2 linked regions of the Mytilus edulis genome follow. The protein of the gene in region 2 purifies or fractionates together with the protein of the main gene of each other region. This does not show direct contact. Links are inferred from orthologs where the notes say so. Each region holds a gene or a part of one and is shown on either strand. Other genes may lie near its edges. The genes, in order: protein argonaute-2-like and endoribonuclease Dicer-like.

Region 1 (10,399 bases), on a different chromosome or scaffold from region 2:
CTTTAATTGTAAAGCTAATATTGTTAAGTCTGTTCAGAATTGGTTACATTATAAACCGTAGTGGATACTTCTATTTGAAATTCAGATGATGTCATTCAATTTAATGATTGAAATCACATTTCACAGAATCATGAGAGTGGGATTGTTCAAAATTACTTTTTTAAGAAAAAGAACAAAGGTACTATAAACTAGGGCAACGGGGCCTTTTATAGCTGACTATGCGGTATGAGCTTTGCTCTTTGTTGAAGGCCTTACAGTGACTTATACAGTGTTCCAGCTAGGTTTTCAAAAGGGCAGGGTGCCAATCCTGAAAAAGGGCATTTAACGCGCGATATGATAATATGAAAAGGGCATATTTTAATAAAAGATGTTAATCAAACATTTGTGTTTATTCGTTGAATCACAGGTTATACAAGAACAACATCTTTAGCCCATATAGAACTCTATCTTTCTACTTTTAAGGCTGAAAAACTTGTCAAGCAGCTTGTCACACAAGTTTTTTTTATCATTGCTTGGCACAGTTGAACTTTATATGCAGTATGTTTTGAAAGGAGATCTGTTTCATACTGTTTCTATGGTCTACCACATTTTACCAGTTTCACCTTTCTACCCCTGCTGTGCTTGATGGCAATACAGCACAAAACAGCTGTGCTCAGTAAATTCACAATTTTAGGATATAAAGCAACAGTGAAAAATAGTAAAGTAAAGAATACAGAAAAAGATGACCAAGGCACCCTACCAACACTGCTACTAAGACCCTCTTTAACTTTTCCCATAACTCAAAATAAATACCTAAACATATATATTCTTAAGCAAGAAGTATGGAGACACATTTTAGAATATGTAAATGGGTTACTCAATGCTAGGAAAAAAATCAGATTGAGTTATCTTTCTTTATTCGGGTGTGCTCCCTCTTTGGAGGATTATAAACAGTACGTAAATATGATGTAAATATGATCACAATATGGCGGCCGATTTTTTGTTATTTTCGTATCAAAAATGAAGGCAGTCAATGACAAATACGTCTGAATTTTCTGTTTATTTTACAGAAAACCAGTAAAACAATGTCTTCAACGAGTTTATAATGGTTTTCCAACTTTCTGTCATTACGTTTCTTCCATGAAACTACGGTAAACATCGCAAATTGTGCCCAAGTTGTTGTATGCACATTTCTTCAAAGATAATTGCCGACTGACCGATTCTATTTGAACGAATTAATGTTGATGATCATTAATGACCCATCCGATAAACGGATTACCTATAACAACAGATTATGACACCAGTTGTAACCATTGATTAGCTTGGGGTGGTAAACAAAGTCATAATCTTTTCCCCAGGTAAAATTTAGTAATTAGCGTATCATATCAATACGCAAATTAATATGCAATCGATCTTCAAAAAAGGCAGGGCGCCCAGGAAACTGTAAAAAGGGCACAGGGCGCCACTCGGAAAAGGGCGGGCGCCGCGCCCTCTGAAAACGGCCTAGCTGGAACACTGCTTATAGTTGTTAATGTCTGTGTCATTTTGGTCTTTTGTGGATAGTTGTCTCATTGGCAATCATACCACATCTTCTTTTTTATAAGTCTGGTAACTGGAACCATACATTTTTTTTTTCATTTTACAGTAATTCTTATCACAAAGAATTTTTTTTAAAAACTGTTTACATCCAAACTGAATATCCTACATTTGTACATGTAGTAGATCACTTCAAATTTCTGATTTTTTTTTTATTCACATGTATATTCATGTTAATAACATTAGTAATTTAAAAGACTAATTCTTTAAATTTGCATTTAATCTTTAAAGGAAAAATCAGTTCATGTAACAATGATAATAAATATTGATTAGCTTTTTTTCCAGGTATCAGACTCCTCTTTAGGTTCATCATAACCTTTTGGCTAACATGGACGTATTTACACCAACACTTATACTCCGAGTACAGAAAAACCTGTGCACCTGCGAAAATCGGCAGGGCTGGACCTAGACAAATTAATTTTAGATGCATTTTATGTTTCAGAAAATTATAAACTTTTCTGGATTTTGCCTTTTCTTTTTTTTTTTCATTCATGCAGAAGGTGCAAAAATAACTAAGTTGGGAAAACGTTTGAGAAGCTACCCTCAGATAATTGATGTTGTGAGTAATTGATTTAAATGGACAACAGATGGACAATAGACACCTGTAAACATTTACTAAACAATAGGTGATTTAAACTGTGTAACTGAGTGGAATGTATCAAATGAAACTTGTGTGTTTGTTTATTTTGCTATCTTATGCAGACTTGAAAAAAATGCACGTCAAAATCCAGGTTTAATATTCATTAATTTTCTGTAACATACACTTCATATAACTTTTATATACCTACATGTAGGTCCCGCCATGTCTTAAAACTTTCCTAGATGCATTAGTTTGTCTGTACTAATAGTAAATTTGTGGATGTGAAAACAGCCATATTTTTCAATTCCTTCAGATGAACCTTAAAGAATATTGTATTAAAAAGCAAGACATTTATCAAAAGCACACCAGGATCCTTGAAAATAAAACCCAGAATAAATAGTTGGTAAGAACTGACATATTATTTCAGACCAACAACGAACAATTCTTATATTTTCATAAAAAACAACATTCAGCCGATATGCTGATCAGAACAGGTAGCAGATTTAGAAAAGACTGTTCGCAAGAGTTCAAAGATATTTTTGATTTTTTCTGATTTGAAGGAAAAACAACTGTTGCTTTCGCTTGTCATAATATCAAAATCGGTAAAATTTAATGGACCAGAAATTTCTGGAACGTTCGATTTACATTCTCCGGAAATTCGGGTCTGCCAAATTTTACCGATTTTAATATTTTATATTCACCGGAAGTGACGTTTCTTCGGTAATTGTGGAAAATTTCTTTGAAACAAAATAAATACTTGCCCACTTCAAATGGAATCGTATCTTATTTTATCATTTCTTATGGATATTTCTGGAAATATTCTATATCAAATATTCAATAAGCACAAAAAAGGTAGGACTTTGTAATACCGTAAAAAAAATTGAACCAGCAATGAAAATTTCATGTCAAAAAAAGGTCTCAAAATTTGCTCTCAAACTCCAGACGTAAAAAATGGCTTCAGTATTATGACGCCTTAGGAAGGTGTCCCACAAATAAATAAAAATAGCCTTGCCATACGTCATAATTATTTGGACTAGCCCTAACCCTTACCATACACATAAAACAGGTTCAAATTATGCGAGCGTAGAATAATATACAAATCTTCAGAACAGGATCTTCTTAATACATTTCCTTTACTGTTACAGTTAATATGTGGGTTGGACATTAGAATGACAGGGGTAACACCATGCTGTGATTTTGCTTATCAAACAGAACAGTAGCCTCTTTGATCATGTTGATTTACTTCTTTTATAAATCTGATAAACACAGGATAGAAACGTTCTTAAAATCAGAAAAAAAACAGCCTTGAACTCTTGTTTAGTGGCTTTTTCGACCTGACAATCATAAAACGTCATCTTTACGAGAGCAAATTATCAAACATTTTAAAAATCCTTAATTGACCTTTTTAATTTCAACAAAAATCAACATGTTCATAACAAAAGAACATAATAATTCGTGTTTTTTAAAATGGCGTGGGGCAAAGTTCTTTGATTGCTAAACGTTACACAGTTCATTTCACGGAACAAATTGTGGTACCTGGAATTGGAAACATTTTGGCATTGGTATAATTCTCGATACTATTCAAAGCCTAAAAGGCTTTATGAAAAGTTATTTTCTATCTGGCGACTCTTCACTCGCTGTTTCCGAAAGAAAATGGCTGCCGTAGTAAAAAAATTACGCCATCTGGTGAGAATAAATTGATTAGTTTTGTTGTCTCCCCTTTTCGGGTGAGAAAAATAAACGAAGAGTTTTCAATTGCTTATTTTAGATATTAACCATTATTGATCATTATTATTACAGATCATTATATTTTATTTTACATGTACATCTTTGGACATTTTCACGGTTCATCGATTGATTGCTTGATTTACACTGAGAATAGAGATTAGGGGCAAAAATCTTGAGCAAGCAAAAATACAAGGGATAGAATCACTCGGGAGACTTAATTCACATGGACCTCAAAAGTATATATATAGAATATTATCTGACATTCTAAAATATGTAAAAAGATAACAATGGTAAAAAAGTATAAATAATTAAAATTATTATTTAGAAAATGAGTGGCATACAAACTTAAAGAATACAAAAATGAATTACCCCCCCCCCCCCCCCCCCCAAAAAAAAAGTCATTGCCAAAATAAAGATAAATCCAGATGTCTATTACACTAACTACATGTAGCATGATATTCACAGACAAGTGTCTCAGCTACAGATCTGTGACTACTATCATATGTAATAGAAATCCAGCGTAAAAGTACTTTAAATTCAGTCTGAGAATTATAAAAATCGTCACGACGAGTCTTAGAAAAAGACACTACAGTAGGCATTTTGTATTTCTATATCAAGTTTCAACGTTATATATTATTTTATAAACCCAGAAAATGATGTGCATCATCGAGTTTTATAGAGAACTAATTCAATATTAATATTTATCAATATTGATTCCAAAACGAAAGAGATGAATGCATTAATTATTTTTTTCTATTTTCAGTTATAGTTAAACGAGCCAAAGTTGTATGCCTAATTTTACAAAAATCTGTGACATAGCTCATTTGTTGTATTTGGCAACATGCCACTGGAAACCCATCTCAAAAACAGTTGTTGCAATGGAAATTTTCTTATCTATGTTTTTATTAACCGTCCGCGACTCAGTGGCGATGAAGCCCTCGCATGGTCGGAATGGTAATCTGACGCGGTACATAGCCTTGTATTTTTTTCGTATTGAACACTAATAGAATGTATGCTAAACTGACAGCACCAAATACGAAATCCATTTCCGTTTTAATGGCAAATATATGATTAATTGGTTGGTGTTGTTCAACATCCAGTGGCAACTATTTCATAGACGAGACAAGACTAACAATGCATTCAATGATATGTAGGTTCTGCAAAGTGGTTCGATGGGAATGAAAGGCGAGCATTTATACCATTACCGAAAAAATAAGGAAATAGTGGATCAGGACAGAACTTATCCGTCGCAACAGTTAACGCACAGAGAACGGTTGCGCCTATTCCAAGCGATTACTACTGATTATTTAAATCCACACAATAAATTGGACTCAAATAGGAAATAAGAAAATCAATAGAATCACCGAAAGCACTAAATTTTTGAAAAAAATCGGTATTAAAAATATCTTTGAGATTTTTAATAAAACGCCACTAACTCTGTGTTTTTGTTAGATGTATTTCTATTTGTATCTATCTGATGAGTTAAGATGTTTTCAACTGATTTTTATAGTTCGTTCCTATGTTGTACTGTTATACCACTGTCCCGGGTTAGGGGAGGATTGGGATCCCGCTAACATGTTTAAACCCCACCACATTCTGTATGTATGTGCCTGTCCCAAGTCAGGAGCCTGTTATTCAGTGGTTGTCGTTTGTTGATGTGTTATTTATTTGTTTTTCGTTCATTTTTTGTGCATAAATTAGGCCGTTAGTTTTCTGGTATAAATTGTTTTAAATTTGTCATTTCGGGGCATTTTATAGCTAACTATGCGGTATGGGGTTTGCTCATTGTTGAAGGCCGTACGGTGACCTAAAGTTGTAAATTGCTGTGTCAATTGGTCTCTTGTGGAGAGTTGTCTCATTGGCAATCATAACACACGGTTTTAAAAAAAAATATTGAATGAGCTTTACAAATGAACAAAACTTACGAAACTATTCCCCGTACGATTGAGAACAAAATCAAGATGCATCAACCTATGCTGTCTAAACTGATATCAGACCTATTTTTAAAAATCACTTTTATTAATGGAAGTTCACACAACCAAACCATGGAGAACTACCAACTTGTGTTTTGTAAATTGTTTTGTTATATTAATGAGGCTAGTTTCAAATTGTAAAATTGAGAATGGAAATGGGGAATGTGTCAAAGAGACAACAACCCGACCATTGAAAAAACAACAGCAGAAGGTCACTAACAGGTCTTCAATGTAGCGAGACATTCCCGCACCCGGAGGCGTCCTTCACTGGCCCCTAAACAAATATATACTAGTTCAGTGATAATGAACGCCATACTAATTTCCGAATTGTACACAAGAAACTAAAATTAAAAAAATACTAGACTAACAAAGGCCAGAGGCTCCTTGGGACAGGCGCAAAAATGCGGCGGGGTTAAACATGTTTATGAGATCTCAACCCTCCCCCTATACCTCTAGCCAATGTAGAAAAGTAAATGCATAACAATACGCACATTTAAAATTCAATTCAAGAGAAGTCCGAGTCTGATGTCAGAAGATGTAACCAAAGAAAATAAACAAAATGACAATAATACATAAATAACAACAGACTACTAGCAGTTAACTGACATGCCAGCTCCAGACTTCAATTAAACTGATTGAAAGATTATGATTTCATCATATGAATATCAGGCACAATCCTCCCCGTTAGAGGTTTAGTATCATACCATCATAACATATATGAGAAGAACATAACCCGTGTCATGCCAACAACTGGTTTTTTTAATAAATGTGTTTAGTTCCGATGCAAAGACCTTATAAGTGAATCAATATTAACGCCAAAATAAGCAATCTTTAGTGACCTGACAACAGTATCGTAACTATATCCCTTCTTGATAAGTCTATTTAAAGGTTTTGTTAGATTCTGAGGTGAATACTGACATTTTTGTGCTTTATAAAGAATATTTCCATAAAAAATTGGATGTGAAATACCTGAACGTATAAGAAGTCTGCATGTTGAGCTATATTTACGAATGATGTCCTTACACCGATGATAAAATTTAGTAAATGTTTTGACTAGTTTGTGATATCGAAAACCCTGGTGTAATAATTTTTCAGTAATACACAAATTTCTCTCGTTAAAATCTAAAACATTGTTACATACACGAGCGAATCGTACAAGTTGAGATATATAAACACCGTAAGATGGTGACAATGGAACGTCACCATCTAAAAATAGATAATTAACTATAGGAAATGAAAAATCATCTCTTTTATCATAAATTTTAGTATTAAGCTTTCCGTTAGTGATATAGATATCAAGATCGAGGAAAGGGCAGTGGTCATTGTTAGTTTTAGCTTTATTTAAAGTAAGTTCAACAGGATAACTTTCTTTAGTATATATACTGAAGTCGTCATTATTGAGAGCCAAAATGTCATCCAAATATCTAAAAGTATTATTAAATTTGTTTATGAGATGCTGTTTCGATGGGTCTTTGCTGATTTTTGTCATAAATTGTAACTCATAACAATACAAAAACAGGTCCGCAATAAGTGGTGCACAGTTAGTCCCCATTGGAATTCCAATAACCTGACGATATACGGAATCTCCAAAGCGAACAAAAATGTTATCTAGTAAAAATTCAAGGGCATATATAGTATCAAAGCATGTCAAATTGACATAGTTTTTTTTATTGCTACTAAAAAATGACCTAAAAGAGATTGAACATATATATTCGCATTCTGACTTTTTAAATGCCCATTTAATTAGATGGGTGATTTTTTTCTTAATGAGAATGTGAGGCAATGTGGTATACAGGGTAGAAAAATCAAAACTTTGAACAGATTCAAAATCACCAATATAAAAGCATGCAATTTATCAAGTACTTCCAACGAGTTCTTGACACTCCAAAAGTAATTAATTCCACTATTTTCGAAGGCCTTATTTGAACAATTTATAATCAGGTTTTTGATTGTACCAAGTGTACTGGTAAGAAGAATAGACGATTTAGTAGTGGAACAATGGCTTGAAGACGAAATAAATCTATATTTGTAAGGTGTTTTGTGTAGCTTCGGAAGCCAATACATAGTAGGGACTTTCATTGTATTCGGTTCTGCTTGTAAAGCGGTAGCTAAAAGTTTATGTTTGTTACAGATGTCGATTTCTGAAAATGGAGTCAGTTGGAATGTTGGTGAATTGGTAATTTCTTTTTTCAGAACCTCAATGTAAAATTTACGTCAAACAATAATAATATTATTAGCAGCTTTATCGGCCGGGACAAAAACAAATTCCTTGGCTAGTTCTTTTAGTCTATGTTTGATACAAGAAATATGTTTATTGTGGTTATTTTTAATAATAAAATGTTCTTTAAAATGTTGAATACGTATATCAACTATGTTCATTACTGAATTAAAGAAAGAGTCCAAAGATTTTTTGTCAGCTTTTTAAACTGTTTAAGCTGCTGTTGGTTGTTTGGAATCTATGAAATCGCGAATCGCGAAGATTCTGCACGTACCAAAAAGATTGTAGAAATGTGCAGGCTTGGTTCAAACCTTTGAATACAGAAATCATCTAATTACATACATTTTTATAGTAAAAAAAATTAAGGACCAAATGCAAGATCCTCATATGCAATTTTGTTGAGATCTTGTATGCGATAGGAACAGTTTTACTCGTTCTAAAATTGGTCGGTACTTTAGCAAAGAAATAACAGATATGACAACCGATTAAGCCCAGATAAAAGACCACATTCATTCAAGATGTGAAAATAGTTTGTTTTTATGGTGTACTGTTACACTTCTGTCCCTGGTTATGGGGAGGATTAGGATTTCAAACTAGTTTGACCCCGCCTCATTCTGTATGTGCCTGTCCAAAGTCAGTGTAATTCAGTGGTTGTCGATTGTTGATGTATATCATATTTTTTTTCATTCATCATAGAACATACATCGGGCCCTCGTTTGAATTCTTTTACATTTGATACTTTGGGACTTATATTGCTGACTATATGCGACAAGAGTTTTATTCGTTGTTGAAGACCGTACCATGATGATGACGTATAGTTTTTATTTCTTTGTCATTTTGTCTTTTGTGCATGGAGAGTTGTCTCATTAGCAATCATACCACATCTTCTATGCAATAAACTAGATATGAAGATACACTACGAAAATTAAACAATACCTATCGAGGATGAGGAGGACAGTTAGAAATGCACATAGATTTTACAGAGAAGACGACAAAAGATGATCATGAAAAGTTCTTTGGACGCATAAAATTAAGCAAGATCAGAGGGTTATTATTATAATCATAAACGAAATACTACAATTGAGTACATGAGTAATGTATTATGGTGTTTATAAAAGGAGATGAGGGGTTTATGCGGCAATAATAAACAACCAAACGACAAATAAATCAATCAAAAGGCATCTCTGTGCATTCCCCTAATTATATTTTAACAAGAAAAACACGACGGGTATCGTAAATTGGACATGATCTGCTGCATATCCAGGGCTAGACTTGCTACATGTCCCTTCCTAATTATTATTATTTTTTTCAATTTTGCCCCTTTAATAATTTTACTGCTATAACTAGGAGATTACAATTATACTGACATCTGCAGGTCGGTATAAAATGTTATTATACAAGTCCCTTTCTCCAAGGGCAATCAGTAGGCTGGCACTTATCAGTAAACATATCAATTAGTAAGAGAGAAATATTAGAAAGGGAATTGTAGCAAGTCTAATCCAGGGCACTTGTGATCGACCCTATAGTTAAGGTTGGGTTCGATGTTACTCAGTGTCTCTTTTGTAGTGTTTGATGAATTTATTTGTCTTCTCGTCGTCGTCAATTTTCTTTGTTTTGTCAAGACGTTAACATTTTATATCGACTTATGAGTTTCAAGTGCTCCTTGGCTTCTTTTCCCTCTTTTTTAAGATCTTTTCCAAATGGGGCATGGTTTTGTGGAGACGTCTTTTAATATTTGACAGATCAGTGAGACATACAATATATATACTTATTTTCCTGATGACGTTACAGATTTGATACACGCTTTCCTTTTTGTTGTTGTTTTGTTTCCTTCCCTTTCTGAACTATTTCAATTTACATGTATATATGTAGAATATTTAGTGATTTGTCTACCGCCAGATGTAGCTATAGGTTGTGTTTGCCGTAGTTAATACAACTTTGAGAATCTTTTGTTTTGATTCTCTGCAACTATGTCTTTAATTTAGCCTTTCAATTGTTTTGAATCGAGCGCTACTGATTTGCCTTATGTAAACGGAAAAATTGTACGACGTACGAATGTATATCTTAAATTAGTTTTTACAAACACTGAGTCGATTACACTGCTGGTGAACATCTCGACGGAAACACCAGCCAAGTAGTCAGCACTTTTGTGTTGACCATAACTATCATTGATTTGCTAATTTCTTGTTAATGTACTGTTTTTAAAATATTTAATTATTCAAAAGTCTAAGTTTTACTAGTACTACATCAGCAAAGGGTTTCTTAGTCCTACCAACAAGTAAAATAACAAGCAAAACAAAAAAACGCACTCCGAAGAAAATTCAA
Region 2 (9,516 bases):
AAAAGAGATATATGTATATAAATAGTTGTTTTACACCAATAACCAATTAGCTAGAGATAAGTTATGTTGTTATATATATATGTAAGACTCAGATAGATGTCCGGACTCTAATCGACGTCTGTTCCTCAAATCGACGTCCAAATCTGACGTCATAATTAAATAGCATTCCAAATCGATGGCCAATTTTATGCCTATCTTATCGACGTCCAATTTGTGACTTTTATTATCGACGTCAAATTTTTAATTACTCTATTCAACGTCCATTTAGGACACAGAATACACAATTGAACTAAACCGATAGCAGCTGAAACCTTTCCACCTTTAAATATATTATGTCTAACAAAAAAAATCTATCCAAAAAAAAGTATTTTTTTAAAATTTAAAACATACTAGTGTGTAAACAGGTAGTGATCATATCAATTTTTGAAATTTTAGAGATTACATAAAAATAAAGAGAGGTGTTATTATTTCCAATAGGACAACTTTCCACCAGATTTCAAATTAAGTGAATGTGAGCAATTATCATGATTATAGGCAACCGTTTGGCTTTCAACACTGATAAAAACCTTTACCGCAAAGGCTATAAAAGGCCAGGACATAAATAGTGTAAGCAATTCAAATAAGAAAATTAACGGTCTTAATACTCTTATTTATTACAAAACAATTCCGAAAGACCAGTATTGCAGACCAACGACAACCACTGGACTACAGGAACATAGAGAATGTGTCGGTTTTAAACATGTGTGTGTGCACTTAATCTAGAACAGAGGTGTAACAGCACAACATAAAAACATAATGCAGATTTCTTGAGTATATTTTCAGTACAGGGGGTAAAACTCAGAAATTTGTTGAAAATATCTTACAGATGCCGAATTATAATACTCTCAAAACCATTTGCTGTACTTCTTTATTTTGTCAATTGTGGAAGACTAAATAATGCTCCTACATGTAGATGTCATTGGTTTCCTTTGTTGTTTGGTTGCTTTCTAATTGATTTAAAAGATTCTAGATTCAATATTTTATCAAAGTCTCACCACTTATATAACATTAACAGTAAAATTTCATTAGCTTAACTGCTAAAAAATATACAAGCGCCATTCTATTAAGAATTATGAGTGACTACATGCATGTCATTTTTTAATATGATTGACACACTACCCAGTATTATGTACATCAATTGGATTAACTTTTAATCAAGATAAATATTTAAATGCATGTTACCTATTTCTTGTTGAAAAAATTCGATATTGGAAAGTATGTATAAATGTTTGAAAATTTATAGTTGTCATAAGACGTGTACAAAACATGTACAGGTATAAGTGTAAGTCCAGTAATTTATTATTTACTGTAAATTCAGAAATTAATGCAAGGTTTTTATTATTGCGAAAAATTGCGACATAGTTGTAAACGCGATATTTTAAACTCGCATTTTGAAATATTTCATATGAATTAAACAGGATTTTTCTCAAAATTGTAAAAATTAAAATCACATTCAAGTCTAAAATGACAAAATCGCAATAATAAATGCAGGCAATAATTTCTGAATTTACAGTCAGTATTATAAATGATTTTGGGACATCGATTAAAGATGACTACAATAAATTTGAGGTTTTGGCAATATGCAACGTCACATTGGATGTCCATTCATTGCCATTAGATAATCAAAATATTGGCCATTGATTTGAGAATGTAACGTCAGATTTGGACGTCGATTCCACTATTATGTACAGTAGAGAATGAAGGAATACTACAGATTGGACAGTACCTTTAAGTATTTTTTCTTGGAATATAAAGATGTCTTCCCCTTTCAATGATTAAAGAATGTCTTTGATTCATTGTGTACATGAAAGAAACTTTCATAAACTAAGTTTAAAAGATTCCTGTTATTTTGCAAGCACTGATTATAAATTCTTTGTTTAAACAACTATTTATAACAACAACTGAAAAGATATATGACTATCATAAATTCTGTACAAATATCTTTAGTTTTGTCATTATACATGTAGGAGTTCTAGAACATTGAAGCATTGAAAATTTTATTAACAATAGTATTTTCCATACCTGCCAACCTCTTAAACTTTCAAAGAGGGAGATCTATCTCCCACAGCTATGACAGCGGGAGGGTATCGGCAAGCGGGAGATTTCCCGATTTTCGCCATCTGAGTGGGAGTCTCCCGCTCAAAACGGGAGGGTTGGCAGGTATGGTATTTTCTGAATATGATAAAAGTATACAATTGACAGTTTATCATTTATCTAATATAATAAAGTACTATTAAATAATTTAAGTGTTTAGGTAAATCAAAAGCTTGTTTGCTAAAAAAATATATTTAACATAAAAAGACAATTCCGCGGAACCCAGTGTCTCGCCTACTTTTGCTGTTAATCACACACTCATCAAAAATGATGAAAAAAATCAATAAAATTATTCCTCTCAATACTATCTTTTGATTGTCAGAAGCTTCTATCCAAGTTTGGTAAAAATCCAGGCTAGTTTAAGAAACTTAAAAATGTTTAAAACTAAGTCCATCTATAAGTAAAATACGGGAAAAAGGGAATTTTATTTTTACAAAATTTACTTCTGGATACTATCTTCTGATCATAAACAAGCTTCTGGCCAAGTTTCTTACAATTCCAGGATAGTTTAAGAAAGTTATTAAAATTTTAAAAACTTTAACCAGAGTGAATTTAATGTTTCCTGGCAGAAAAAACTAAGTCCATTTATAAGAAAAATACGGAAAAAATGGAATTTTATTTTTACAAAATTTACTTCTGGATACTATATCCTGATCATAAACAAGCTTCTGGCCAAGTTTTGTACATTTCCAGGATAGTTTAAGAAAGTTATTAAAAATTTTAAAACTTTAACCACAGACATTAACAGAGTGAATGTAATGTTTGGCAGAAAAAACTAAGTCCATTTATAAGTAAAATACGGAAAAAATGGAATTTTATTTTTACAAAATTTACTTCTGGGTACTATCTTATGAACATAAACAAGCTTCTGTCCAAGTTTCATACAATTCAAGGATAGTTTAAGAAAGTTATTAAAATTTCAAAAACTTTAACCACAGAGTGAATATATGTGGACGCCGCCGATGACGACGACGACGCTGACGGAATGAAGGATCGCTATGTCTCGCTTTTTCGACTAAAGTCGAAGGCTCGACAAAAATGTTTCTTTATCAAAACAGCGCATCTCACAAATAAAGTCACCCTATAATCGCATGACTGATATTAGTGTTTCATTAGAGACGGAGTAGTTGTTGTTTTTTTTCTATTAACCCTTTCAACGCTATACACGGCATATGCCGCGATGACGTACGCCGTTCGCCACTGCTATTCGCGGCATATGCCGCGATGAAAAAGGATTTTTCATAAGGACTCTTAAACCATTCGGTTTTCATTCGGGTTCTCTCTAATTTTTCCTCGTTTGAATCTAGGATATGCAAGGTCTCATTTGCGCTTGAAATCCCGACAATTTTTATAGTAAAATCATGCAGTAGAAGGAAAATAGAAGGAAAATAAAAACAAATATTTTGACAAATGCAAATGGCGGAAATCGGAAACGAAGCTGTAAATATGGAAAAATTTCAGCATTTCCTTGGCGAAACTTACAACGAGGATTAGTTAAAAGGTTTCTTGTTATCTCATTGTGTTTATTACATAAAATTCGTGTGGGAAATATGATTTGATAGATCATTACGAGACGTAGAAAAAGGGGGGGAAACGGAGGTTGACTGAAATTTTTTAGGACGGAGCTATTTATTTGTGCCACGATTACATAAAACGTTATGTATGGTACAATACGCTACGGAATCGGGCAACTGGTGTCTTCTTTACAATATGGCAGATAAAACAACAAAATAAATGAAGACTAAAAGTAGTTTTTATTCAAAATTCAACACAAATGTAATAAATTACACCTTTTACCTGTTAATTACCTGAAAACGCAGGTAACCTGATAAAAATTTCAGTAAAATAATTGCCTAACATTACAGTTCATGCTCTCCTGAGCATTTTTCATGCAATAACTTTCTCTGTATCTCATATAATAAAAAAGATACAGCAGTCTGAAAAGGAAAATACTGTTCTAATGAATGTACTAAAAAAAAATGCAGCAGCAGCAGCCATTTTTCTATTTTTTTGTGTAGCGTTGAAAGGGTTAACAATAAAAGTTCTAAATCAAAATGAAACGATCCGTGTTAAAGAAAATCTCATGTATAAGTTTTCTGTTTCTGTCTAGCCTCTTCATAATTTTCACAAAATAGTAAATAATGTCCCCCAGTTTCTAATTGAAGTAATTCAGTAATTGACCCCATTCACACTTGGGATCTATATTTAAATTGATTTTGTTTGAGTAATTTCTTAGGTAGTATCCTAATCTTAAATTTCTAATAATTTTTGTTGTTTAATGATCTGGATAATCATAAAACCAATATTTGGATAAAAAAGGGGGGGGGCATTTTTTTCTTTTTTTTCTTAAATTATTTACTGCATGCAATGTTTAAATTTTGCCAAAAAAAAGAAAATACATATTTTCTTATAAAGACCTTTATATAGTGATGGGAATGCGCCTACGTCCGCATCACAATCATAAATTGCAGATGCTTATTTTTGAAATGTTTTCACATTTGTTTCTTCATTTGCCGGAAAATCGTCAAAGTGAAAGAGTGATTTTAATTGGACAGATTTCTAAAATAAGCCAATGAAAATCCTTGACTTATCATATTTACAGAAATTCTAACAGCCAAAACCCACTGAGGAGATGGATACAAAGAATCTTGTGACAGAAGTAATTATCTATTTTTTGATAATTTAGCCACAGGCCAGCTACTTGATGTTTCTTAAAAAATAAGGTTTTGATCTTAATTTCTAAACATAAAATAAAAAAAGGTTTCAATTTTGAGGGATTTTTTTTTATCATAAAGTCAAAATTTTGCCATTGCCATAATATTTGGCATTGACATTAAATAAAAAATTAAAAATTTAATTAAAAAAATTAAAAAATAAAAATTTAGCTATACTGTCTAAATAAAAATTGGATAATGTTAAAACAACAAAATATCGACTATAATTTCAGTTCTCAGCCAGAGTATCAATTACTAGAATTTATTTAATTTGCTGAATAAATGCAAAAGTCCAATACAGCATTATATCATTTTTTTTCAAATGCTCCCTCAATATGGGAAGGAAGGGATAATGCCCTTGAACACATGAATGATGTTCACCTAAACCAAACTGGCAATGGTTTTTTTTTTGCGGAAATACAACGACCTGGATAGTGGTCTAATATAGTTGATTATTTGTTGTTTTAACAGTATCACATTTTTGTCAAGCCTACGACTTTTATGGCAGAAAGCTTGACTTAGGGATAGTGATCAGGCGGCGGAGGCTACTACGGCAGCAGCGGTAGCTAACTTCTTAAAAGCTTTATATTTTAGAAGGTGGAAGACCTGGATGCTTCATACTTTGTATATAGATGCCTCATGTTACAGAGTTTCTGTCTGTCACATGTGAATTGTCCTTGACCTCATTTTCATGGTTCAGTGACTACTTGAAAAAAAAAGTTACGATTTTTTGTAACGTTTATTTCTCTCTTATTATGAGTAAAAGGATAACTATGTTCGGTATGTGCATACCTTGCAAGGTCCTCATGTCAGTCAGACAGTTTTCACTTCACCTCGACCTCATTTCATGGATCGGTGAACAAGGTGAAGTTTTGGTGGTGAAGTCCATATCTCAGATACTATAAGTAAGAGGTCTAATATATTCGATTTTATCATTTATGGGTAGACTGTAAGGTGTACATGTCCAACCGGCAAGAGTCATCTGACCTTGACCTCATTTTTAAGGTTCAGTGGTTATAGTTAAGTTTTTGTTTTGGTCTATTTTTCTTATACTGTATGCAATAGGTCTACTATATTTGGTGTATTGAATGATTGTAATGTGTTTATTTCTAGCTAGCAGGTGTCATCTGACCTTGACCTTATTTTCATGGTTCAGTGGTCAAAGTTAAGTTTTTGAGTTTTGGTCTTGATTTTTCTAATACTAAATGTATATGCAATAGGTCAACTATATTTGGTGTATGGAACTATTTTATGATGTACATGTCAGTCTCGCAGGTGTTATTTGACCTTGACCTCATTTTCAGTGTTCATTGTTAAGTTTTTGTGTTTTGGTCTGTTTTTCTTAAACTGTAAGTAATAGGTCAACTGTATTTGTTGTATGGAAGAATTGTAAGCTGTACATGTCTGCCTGGCATGGTTCATCTGACCTTGACCTCATCTTCATGGTTCATTGCTCAATATTTATTTTTCTTGCTTTTAAAAGTCTGTTTCGTAGAAACTATAAGCAATAGGTCAACTATATTTAAAAGTGTATTGAATTTGAATGATTGTAAGGTGTACATACATGTATTTCTAGTTTGGTTTATATGACCTTGACCTCATTTTCTTGGATCATGTTAAGTTTATGTGATAGTTGTAGTAAAGCTTTATATTTAGGACATAATATCAAAGATAATTAAAGAAGGCGAGACATTTCAGTGTGTGCACTCTTGTTTAAAAACATATTCTTGGTGATAAATAAAAACCTTAACAATCCCCTCTTTGTTTTAACAAATGTTTAAGTTCTTCATCAGTCATGTCAGTATCATGATTTAATGAAAATCACTTTTAATGAACACACTTTAAATAAAAACCACACATATAATTTCGTTCTAATGTGTAAACACATGTTTGTATATGTTCACTGATGAAACAGAAAGTCCAATGTTCAATAAAAATTACTTACTAACTTACATTTGTTGTACTTACTTACTACTGTAAATTTAGAAATTATTGCGTGCATTCATTATTGGGATTTTGCAATTTTAGACCAAAATGCAATTTTAATTTTTGCGATATTCAGAAAAATCCTATTTGATTCATATAAAAAATTTCAAAATGCAATTTTTATACGACCGCAAAAATTAAAATTTTTTCTTCGTATATTGCTATCACGTTGGCGTCATCATCCTGCGTCGTCTTGCGTCTTGCGTCTTGCGTCGTCCGATTACTTTTAGTTTTCTCACTCTAACTTTAGTAAAAGTGAATAGAAATCTATGAAATTTTAACACAAGGTTTATAACCACAAAAGGAAGGTTGGGATTGATTTTGGGAGTTTTGGTCCCAAAATTTTAGGAATTAGGGGCCAAAAAGGGCCCAAATAAGCATTTTCTTGGTTTTCGCACTATAACTTTAGTTTAAGTAAATAGAAATCTATGAAATTTTGACACAAGGTTTATGACCACAAACGGAAGGTTCGGATTGATTTTGGGAGTTTTAGTTCAAACAGTTTAGGAATTAGGGGCCAAAAAGGGCCCAAATAAGCATTATTCTTGGTTTTCGCACAATAACTTTAGTATAAGTAAATAGAAATCAATGAAATTTAAACACAAGGTTTATGACTACAAAAGGAAGGTTGGGATTGATTTTGGGAGTTGAGGTCTGAACAGTTTAGGAATTAGGGGCCAAAAAGGGGCCCAAGTAAGCATTATTCTTGGTTTTCGCACCATAACTTTAGTATAAGTAAATAGAAATCTTTGAAATTTAAACACAAGGTTTATGACCATAAAAGGAAGGTTGGGTTTGATTTTGGGAGTTTTGGTCCCAACAGGTTTTTAGGAATAAGGTGCCCAAAGGGTCCAAAATTGAACTTTGTTTGATTTCATCAAAAATTGAATAGTTGGGGTTCTTTGATATGCCGGATCTAACTGTGTATGTAGATTCTTAATTTTTGGTCCCGTTTTCCAATTGGTCTACATTAAGGTCCAAAGGGTCCAAAATTAAACTTAGTTTGATTTTAACAAAAAATGAATCCTTGGGGTTCTTTGATATTCTGAATCTAAAAATGTACTTAGATTTTTGATTATTGGCCCAGTTTTCAAGTTGGTCCAAATCGGGGTCCAAAATTAAACTTTAAATTGAGAATGGAAATGGGGAATGTGTCAAAGAGACAACAACCCGACCAAATAAAAAACAACAGCAGAGGGTCACCAACAGGTCTTCAATGTAGCGAGAAATTCCCGCACCCGGAGGCGTCCTTCAGCTGGCCCCTAAACAAATATATACTAGTCCAGTGATAATGAACTAATTTCCAAATTGTACACAAGAAACTAAAATTAAAATAATACAAGACTAACAAAGGCCAGAGGCTCCTGACTTGGGACAGGCGCAAAAATGCGGCGGGGTTAAACATGTTTGTGAGATCTCAACCCTCCCCCTATACCTCTAACCAATGTAGAAAAGTAAACGCATATCAATACGCACATTAAAATTCAGTTCAAGAGAAGTTGTTTGATTTCATCAAAAATTGAATAATTGGGGTTCTTTGATATGCCAAATCTAACTGTGTATGTAGATTCTTAATTTTTAGTCCCGTTTTCAAATTGGTCTACATTAAATACCAAAGGGTCCAAAATTAAACTAAGTTTGATTTTAATAAAAATTGAATTCTTTGGCTTTTTTGATATGCTGAATTTAATCATGTACTTAGATTTTTGATAATGGGCCCAGTTTTCAAGTTGGTTCAAATCAGGATCCAAAATTATTATATCAAAAATTGTGCAATAGCAAGAAATTTTCAATTGCACAGTATTCAGCAATAGCAAGAAATCTTCAATTGCACAGTATTGTGCAATAGAAAAAAATGTTCAATTGCACAGTATTGTGCAATAGCAAGAAATCTTCAATTGCACAGTATTGTGCAATAGCAAATATTTTCAATTGCACAGTATTGCGCAATAGCAAGAAATATCAAATTGCACAATATTGTGCAATAGCAAGAAATATTCAATTGATTGGAGTTATCTTTCTTTGTCCAGAATAGTAGTTGAATCAACTTAAATCATTGTTTTATACAATGCACAATGTATATTCACTTTTACTACCAACTGATAAATTAAAACACTCTTTACCATTCAGTGATAACAAGCACTTTTTGTTACATTTTAATATTTTATTATGTATTTAAATGAGTAGTTATTGTTGCAAACTCCATTAGAAATTTGAATTGAGATCAGTTTTGAAAAAAGGGAAAGGGGGATGTGAAAAAAAAATGGTGGGGGGGGGGGGGGTTTATTTTTCTCATTTCAGATTTCATAAATAAAAAGAAAATTTCTTCAAACATTTTTTTGAGAGGATTAATATTCAACAGCATAGTGATTGCTCAAAGACAAAAAAAATATTTTAAGTTCATTAGACCCCATTCATTCTGTGTCCAAAACCTATGCTGTGTCAACTATTTAATCACAATCCAAATTTAGAGCTGAATCCAGCTTGAATGTTGTGTCCATACTTGCCCCAACCGTTCAGGGTTCAACCTATGCGGTCGTATAAAGCTGCGCCCTGCGGAGCATCTGGTTAATTATTGCAATGATTACCCTGTTGCATTTTTCGCAATAATAAAAACATCACAATAATTTCTGAAGTTACAGTATAATGCATTTTTTTATGCCCCACCTACGATAGTAGAGGG

What was found.
Region 1: the proteins of endoribonuclease Dicer-like (region 2) and protein argonaute-2-like purify together in Drosophila melanogaster (affinity purification with western blotting; 5 studies listed by BioGRID, with this or other methods). This does not show direct contact. The link is inferred for Mytilus edulis from reciprocal best matches to the Drosophila melanogaster genes Dcr-1 and AGO1.

Annotation. Positions count from the first base shown.
Region 1 is NC_092355.1:23,866,831-23,877,229, forward strand, and holds the start of protein argonaute-2-like, read right to left. Parts: upstream 3,864-10,399; 5' UTR 3,708-3,863; coding exon 3,692-3,707; intron 1-3,691.
Region 2 is NC_092346.1:84,422,115-84,431,630, reverse strand, and holds the start of endoribonuclease Dicer-like, read right to left. Parts: upstream 4,687-9,516; 5' UTR 4,551-4,686; intron 1-4,550. Other genes in the region: alpha-ketoglutarate-dependent dioxygenase alkB homolog 6-like, read left to right, coding at 4,766-4,792. UniProt on the Drosophila melanogaster protein: Endoribonuclease which functions in microRNA- (miRNA) gene silencing and, independently of its ribonuclease III activity, also acts in the short interfering RNA- (siRNA) gene silencing pathway.